Cricetulus griseus: one gene and its partner. The protein of the gene in region 1 purifies or fractionates together with the protein of each later gene. This does not show direct contact. Links are inferred from orthologs where the notes say so. Each region holds a gene or a part of one and is shown in the gene's direction. Other genes may lie near its edges.

Region 1 (3,373 bases):
TTTTATTAGGATAGCTTATAAGGAATGTATAGGAAATGCTGGGCAGAGTAATTCAATTGTGATTCTATCATCTAACATTTTTACAATTACTTTTGTTAAGGTCAGGTACTATTTACTTTTCTTATAAAATGATAGAATGAAAGATTTTGAGTTGTTTTTTAGTAATATTATCAATAGACAAAAAGAGTTTTTACTTTTTTGATTGTCAAGAAACATACTTAAAAAGTTTAAAGAAACAAATAAAAATCAGTTCAAACCAGTCCCAAAATAACACTCAAGTTTTGATAAATTTTTTAATAGTTTTATGCATAAACATGTTTTTTCAAATTGATATTTTGCTATTTTGTTCATACTATGCTCAATTTATCTTACCATTGTAACCACAAACACCTATTATTTTTCAAAAGTATTCTGTTACCTAAAAGTTTGTAAATAGATCATAATTTAAAAGATTTTGTCTAAATATTAATAATCAACCTTTTATGTTTTAATTGAAATTAAAATTATTGAAATGTCACTACATTTATTTCATATTTTCAGGAAATACTTTGAATAATGTTTTATCATGGTAAAGAGCTTAATGTATCATTTCAGAGAAAAGAAGTTTTTTTAATTAGATAAAAACTAATATTATGGGCTGGTGGGATGGCTCAGGGGATAAGATATGCACTTATTACCTAACCTAACAACTTAAGTTTAACCCCCAGGGCCCTACATGGTTGGTTATGCAATAAAATGAAAGCCAAATAACTTGAGCTTTTTTTAACTATAGTAATTATGATCTTATTAAAATATATAGAGGTGCCTAGAGAGATGATTAGTGGTTAATAGCACATATTTCTCCTCCAAAGCACTTGAGTTCAATTCCCATTGTCAGGATATAGGGAGCAGAGGAAGGCCTGAGTGAATGAAGTCCTAAATGATTGTATATCATTGATGTAGACACAGCCATGACAAGGACCAAGGCCTCAGACCCATGAGAAATTGGCCTAAGGCATTCCCCAGTGGTTCAGCCTAGGAATTGACAAAGCCTTCTTCTTCTCGTCCAAGTGTGAATGTTTACAGAGGATTAATCAGTGTGTACAAAAAATAGCAACTTCAGCTTCCTCCTACACACACACACACACACACACACACACGCACGCACGCACGCACGCACGCGCACGCACGCACGCACGCACACACACACACACACACACACACACACACGCACACACACACACACTCTGATGCTCAGTAAAAGGTTCCAGGTTGTTGACTGGGTGTAGTTGGTGCCACTCAAGCAAAGTGCTTACAGCCTACCTGAACCCAGCTTCTCTCTCTCTCTCTCTCTCTCTCTCTCTCTCTCTCTCTCTCTCTCTCTCTCTCTCTCTCTCTCTCTTCTCTCTCTGTGGTGTGTGTGTGTGTGTGTGTGTGTGTGTGTGTGTGTGTGTGTGTGTGTGTGATTTCTTTGTTCCCTCTCCAGCCCTATTTAGGGTTCAGGGCCAACCTATGCGGGTTGTTACATCATCAGGTGGCTCACAATTACCTATAACTACAGTTCCAAAGAGATGCCTCTGACTTCCAAGGGCACCAGCACTTGCATACCCACACACATATCATATGTACATATATATATATATATATATATATATATACCCTAAGTATCAATATATTGGAAAGATAAGTTTAACATATTTTTATAAAGATAATCTAAAAGAACAAGAACAATCATCTATGTGTTTGTTATTTTAATAGAAATTAGCTTATCTACTTCATGACATCAGAAATTAATAGTGTTCGGAAATTGACAACAAGCTTAAGAAGGCAAGTTAGGATCATGAAGAAGTGAATAGAAATGCAACCTACTGAAAGATTGTCCAAGAACATGGGACATCATGATCATTTTGAGATGATTCAAGAGGAAAGTTCGTAAATGAGTGTACTTGATTCATCCAATCCACATAGAATAATAGGATAATCAAGAAGATAAGTGAAAAACCATATTTACCATAACCAGATAGTCCTTAGGAGAGCAACAAGAAAGGAAATATTGCAGATGCATCCTGCCTCTGTTGTAACATTAGACTACATGAAATGTGTGGTGACCCAAGGTGATGCTGACAGTAGAGACCTAAATACTTGTTCCCTTTATTTTGACATTTTATATAGGTGATGCTCATTCTTTTGATAATGAGTGGAAAAGTGAAGTTTTGAAGTTCAAGCCTAGTGGACGACCATGCAATCTAGAAAACACTAGAATTCGAAGTGTGGGTCATGATAATTCAGGGCCACGAGAACTCAAAAGGAGGTAAAAGTTGTTTCTAACAGTGTGCTCTTAAAGGGTATTTAAAAGTTATGTACTGTGTGTTGGGGAGATAGCTCATTCAGTAAAGGTAATCTCATGTAATCTCAAGGACCTGAGTTTGATCACCAAAACCTGTGTTTAAAAAAATAGCCAGACAGAGTAGCATGCACTTGTAATCCAGATCCCTGAGTCTCACTGGCCAACCAGCCTTGCCTATCATTTGAGTCATAACCTAAAGAATGGTAACCAAAAATCTTTATGACCTGTACAAGTGCACATGAACATGAACCTACTCACTCATGTATTCTTACCCCACCCCCACAAACATACAACAACAATTTTATGTAACTACCTCTTATCAGGTTCTTAAGAATATTTAAGTTGTATCTACAGAATCTTTTTGTTTGTTTGTTTTATTTTTTGAGACAGGGTTTCTCTGTGTAGCTTTGGAGTCTATTCTGGCACTCACTCTGTAGACTAGGCTGGCCTTGAACTCACAGAGATCCTCCTGCCTCTGCCTCCCCAGTGCTGGGATTAAAGGTGTGTGCCACCAACACCTGGCCTCTACAGTATCTTTTAGGAAAAAAGTAACAACTTTATATTGAGTCTTAAGTACTCCATGTAAATCAAAATTTTGTTTCTAAAAGCAAATAAATACTATTTTAGAACTATTCTTAATCATCAGGGCAAAAATAGAAGATAAAAATCCTTAAGAAATTTTATATACTGTGATGTAGTTATCTTGTGATACAACTCCTAATGTGAATATTCAAAGTCATACATGTCACACCAGGTTAAGATATTTATATAGACACTATAAAAGGAAAGGATTGTATTTAGAAAACTTAACTTCCTTACCAAGTCAAAATCCAGCATTTAATTATTAATGAATTTTAAATACTTTCACAGTATGCAAAAGTATTATGTAAGTATTTCATGAAATATGGTATTTTATGTGCACTAGATATGTGCATTTAGATATATTTTACAAAAACTTTTATCTTCTTTGAAATTGCTTTTGGAATAACAGGGAAAAACAAATTTATTGAAACCACATATGAAAATTTATGGTGCTTTTATAAATTT
Region 2 (4,359 bases), on another chromosome or scaffold:
GATCTCCGTGATTCCATTTTGAATTTTAGCCCAGTTTCCTTAGTGAAAAAGCTCAGTCTATGAAAATGCCCTGTTGTAATTTTTTTTTTTGGTGGGGGGAAGGGTTTTGAGACAGGGTTTCTCTGTGGCTTTGGAGCTAGCTCTTGTAGACCAGGCTGTTCTCGAACTCACAGAGATCCACCTGCCTCTGCCTCCCGAGAGTGGGGACTGAAGGCGTGCGACACCACTGCCGGACGACCTGTTGTAATTTTTATCTAGCAAGTCTATTAAATAGATGTGCAGTAGGCACATTAACAAAAGAAAAGTATATACGATATTGTGCTCAGGAGGACAGCACATGAACATCAATATTCAGAACTCTTGTTAGCGTTAGAAGCTTATAACTTCTCCACCGGGGAGATGCGCAGAGGGTGTGGGCAACTGAGAGGAATCAGCCAGAGCACGGGACCCTTAGAGTCAGGGCAGACTGAATGTGGTATTGACCTTAGTCCCTAAGGCTAAGGTCTTAGTTTCGGAGGTTGAGCCTTTAGGTAGATGAGCCACACTTGGGGAAGCCCCACTGAAACTGCTGTTTCTTATTACTGAGCAGAAGAAATGTGCAAAATGCCTTCTGTCCAGCATCTCGGGTAAACTGAGCCTGGTGGAGGTTTGTAAAACAAAACCTGCAATTCCAGGGACTTAACCGTTTTGAGCTGGAAAGTTCAAGGTCAGAGGTTGAAACTCAAGAGGCGCCTCATCTTAAAAGAGGGCGGGTTTGGGCCCTCGGGTACAATGTTCGGTTAGCCTGTGCTGGGCCTTGGAGGGGTCAATGTTTAACATTTGGGAAAAAGATTTCATTCAACGGAAAGCCAAAGGGGGTTAAAAGAACAGGGGAAAAACATCCTTTGTGGTGAGAAGGTCGTTGAAAATCAGACAGTGGATTCTATTGGCATTCCATGCTGGTGATGACCGGGTCTCTCCTGCTCCAAATAAGTGATGAAGTTTGGGGACAGGGACACCAAGGAGGATCTCCTAAATCGGGGCTGCTTGTCGGCCTGGCAGAGCCTCAAGTGTGCGAGCCTTTCCTCCAAACCTCATGACTACAACTCCACGTCCACAGAGCGTGAGTCACACGAAGCTATCTATCTGGTCGCTCGCTATCTGCGAACTTTATGGGTCAGTTTCCACAGAGGCCGTGAGCGTCCTTCCTCCCAGTCTGCTTCCGGGCAACCGCAGGCCCCGGGGCCAGTCAGGCAGGCTCGCCCGGGAGTCGCCGCCGGCTTCCGGAGGTCTCCAAACCGAGGGTTAGCGCAGGGTGGCGCTTCCCGCTCGTTCTGCTTTCTCGACTTCCTCCTTAGCGACTCCACGGAATCCGCGACCAAGGCTGCCAGGTTCTTCCGAGTGCGAAGGGGGCGCTTTCGAATCCGGCACGAGCCCGAGCCGGTAACCGCTGCTGCGCATGCGTGGCGTCAGGACCGGGCGGAAGTGGACGTCGCCGCGCCGCCACCGCATGACGCACTTCCTGTTTGTTGTTGGAGAAAAGGAGAGAAAGGAAAGCGCGAGGAGACGCCGCCACCGCCGCCAGCGCAGCTGTGCCAGAGCCGCGAGGAGACCAGCCGCCCGACTTCCCCCCCTCGCCGGCCGCCGCGTCCTCGGTGAGGGGCTGCGGACCGGGCGGACGGCAGGGTCCACTGCGCGGGCGGGGCGGGCCGTCGGCTGGCGCGGGTAGGGTGACCTGCTCGGCGCCTACACACACACACACGGCCGCGGGGACGCCGGCCCGACGGGGGGCCGCTCGCCAGGGCCGGACGGGCGGGCTCCAGTCGGAGCGGCGGCCCGGCGTCGCGGCCCGAGGCCTGGGGCTTTCCTGGCGTGGGCCGGGTCTAGACCGGCTCGGTGGAGAAGGCCGTGCCGGTCCGCTCAGGCCTAGCCGGCCCCGGCCGGGCTCCGCTCCCTGCCTCCCGGGGCTGTAGTGGCGGTTGGGCCCGGCACGCGCGAGCTCCGCCACAGGGCCGCGGGAGGCGGCGAGGCCGGTGTCACCCTGTCCTGGCGTCCCCAGTGCATTCTGCAAGCGAGGGGGTCAGGTGGCAGGCGAAGAGGAGCGGGGCTCGCCGGGGAGGCGCGCTCACGGGCTCAGGCTGCCGGCCGGGCTCTCCCGGCCCAGGACTGTTGGGAAGTTTTGCTAGGCGACCTGACTGGGCGCCGTTTACTTTCAAAACCCGTTTGCTGTTAGCCTTCCAGGGTGCCTCGCTGTGGGTTTATGTAACTAAAAGTTTATGTAACTGAAGTTTACATTAAGTCTTAATTCGCTTCGGTCCTGTGGAAAAGGGAACCCTACGCTGCAAGCCTTAAGATTGTCCTGAAAACAAAACAAAACAAAAACAAAAAACTGGGGGGGGGGGCTGGCGGTTTTTATTTTATAGAATGAATTGTTAGACATTTTAAAACTTGTTTACCGAAGTTGTGTGTGAATTGTCGAAAGGGAACGGAGGGGATGGTCCCACTTTCTCAGGCACGCCCAAGCAGGTGGAGAGTGTAGGTCCAATGCACTCACTTTGTTTTTATTAATGTCTTTATTTGAACCATAGATTTGTGGTCAGGTTTTATGGCTAGTAAGTCCACTGTATCCCCCTTTCTAGGCCCTGCAATCCTGGGAATTGAACTCCGTACTTACTGCTTGCTAGGGGAGTGATGGCTACTAAAAGCCAGCTACTTTAGTAGAAAAACTAGACTTAAGCAGCCAAGAAGGGAACGGCCCTAACGAAAATGCATCCTAGTCGTTGAACGTTGGTCGTGAAGTAATTGAGCACATCTGTTACGGGACTCTCTTTGGGAAGTTCTTTGGCAATTCCCACCACAGGGGGAATTGCCCTCCGGTGTGTGATTACTACGCCGCCAGTGATCAGTGCAGACACTTGCCGTGAACTGCGAGTGGACCTTTGGAATTAGAAGAAATAAGAAATCTGGGAAGAAATATGCTGCCTTTGTGTAGGTACGGGTTGATTTGATAGAAAGGAAGAAATGTTTGTGATTTCTCTTCCCATCACTTTTTCCACAGCAGACTTTGGAAATTTTGGCTTTTCATGTGTTTGCTTTTTGAAGAAGTTGGCATTGTGTTTTGCTTTTTTGAGACAGGAGTTCTGTGTAGCCCTAGGCTGTACTGGAACTCACTCTGTATTGAACTCTTGAGATTTGCCTGCCTCTGCCTCCCCAGTGCTGGAACTAAGGGGGTGCCTCACCACACCCCGCTAAGAAGTTAGCTCCCACTTTGTGTGGTTATGAAGCGAGTGTTACAGCACACATGTGGGAATCCTCCATCCATCAGTCTCTCTTCTGCTAGTTCCAACCCTCTGCATTTATATAGCTCTACAGTACCATATCTGAATTAATTCTTTTTTGTTTTTTAGATTTTAGTCTCTCACTTGTAGCTCTGGAAATCAGTGGTCAGTTTGACTCTGCCTCCCGAGTGCTGGGATTAAGTTGTTGTTTTGTGTCTCTCTCCCCCACCCCCCACCCCGTTTTTTTTTTCTGTCCTCTTCATTTTCTTTTGGGTACAGGGTTCATTTTTTTTTTTTTTTAGCTCTAGCTGGCTTAGAACTTGGTATGTAGATTAGGCTAGTCTGGAGTTCACAGATCCACCTGTGTCTGCCTGTAGTGTTCAACCATGCCTGGCCCAGAGTACAACTTTTGGAGTCAGTTCTCCTCCTTTCATGGATTACTAGGGTGGAACTCAAGTTGTCAGACTTGTGCGACCAAATTATTCGGCCAGTTGACCCAGCTCCACAGCTTGAGAAGTTGGCCTCTTTTTGTCTCTGAGACAAGTCTCCTCTGTGTAATAGTGCTGGCTGTCCTGGAACTTGCTCTGTAGATCAAGTTCCTGCCTCCTGGAGAAGTGAAAGATGGAATCATATCACCGAGTTTTAGGGTGGACACTGGCGGTGGCACCCCCCCCACCCCCCATCCCCACCCCCCACCCCCACCCCCGACAGGGTTTCTCTGTGTAGCTTTGGAGAAGCTGGCCTCGAACTCAGAGACCCGCCTGCCTCTGCCTCCTGAGTGCTGGGATTAAAGGCGTGCGCCACCAATGCCCAGCTGGCACACACCTTTCATTCCAGCACTGGGACAAACAGGCAGGATGGTTTCTAGTTTAAGGCCAGTTTGGTTTTACTGATGGAGTTCAGGACAGCCAGGGCAAACACAGAGAAACCATCTTGGAAAAAAAGAAAGAAATCATTTCTTGAGGCAGAGACAGGCTAGTCTCCAGAGTTTGAGGTCAGTAAGGTCTACATAGAGAGACCCTGACAAAAAACAAAACAGAAAGAAAAACTGCCTTTAATTGTAGTGTGGGTGGGGGGGATGGTGTGGATTGGAGGCTATTCT

The links.
Region 2: the proteins of Mlf1 (region 1) and dnaJ homolog subfamily B member 6 purify together in Homo sapiens (affinity purification with mass spectrometry; 3 studies listed by BioGRID and IntAct, counting the BioPlex papers as one, with this or other methods). This does not show direct contact. The link is inferred for Cricetulus griseus from reciprocal best matches to the Homo sapiens genes MLF1 and DNAJB6.

Annotation. Positions count from the first base shown.
Region 1 is NW_023276806.1:85,663,133-85,666,505, reverse strand, and holds part of Mlf1 (myeloid leukemia factor 1), read left to right. Parts: intron 1-2,151; coding exon 2,152-2,290; intron 2,291-3,373. UniProt on the Homo sapiens protein: Involved in lineage commitment of primary hemopoietic progenitors by restricting erythroid formation and enhancing myeloid formation.
Region 2 is NC_048601.1:92,979,965-92,984,323, reverse strand, and holds the start of dnaJ homolog subfamily B member 6, read left to right. Parts: upstream 1-1,477; 5' UTR 1,478-1,634; intron 1,635-2,612; exon of another isoform or gene 2,613-2,971; intron 2,972-4,359. UniProt on the Homo sapiens protein: Has a stimulatory effect on the ATPase activity of HSP70 in a dose-dependent and time-dependent manner and hence acts as a co-chaperone of HSP70. Plays an indispensable role in the organization of KRT8/KRT18 filaments.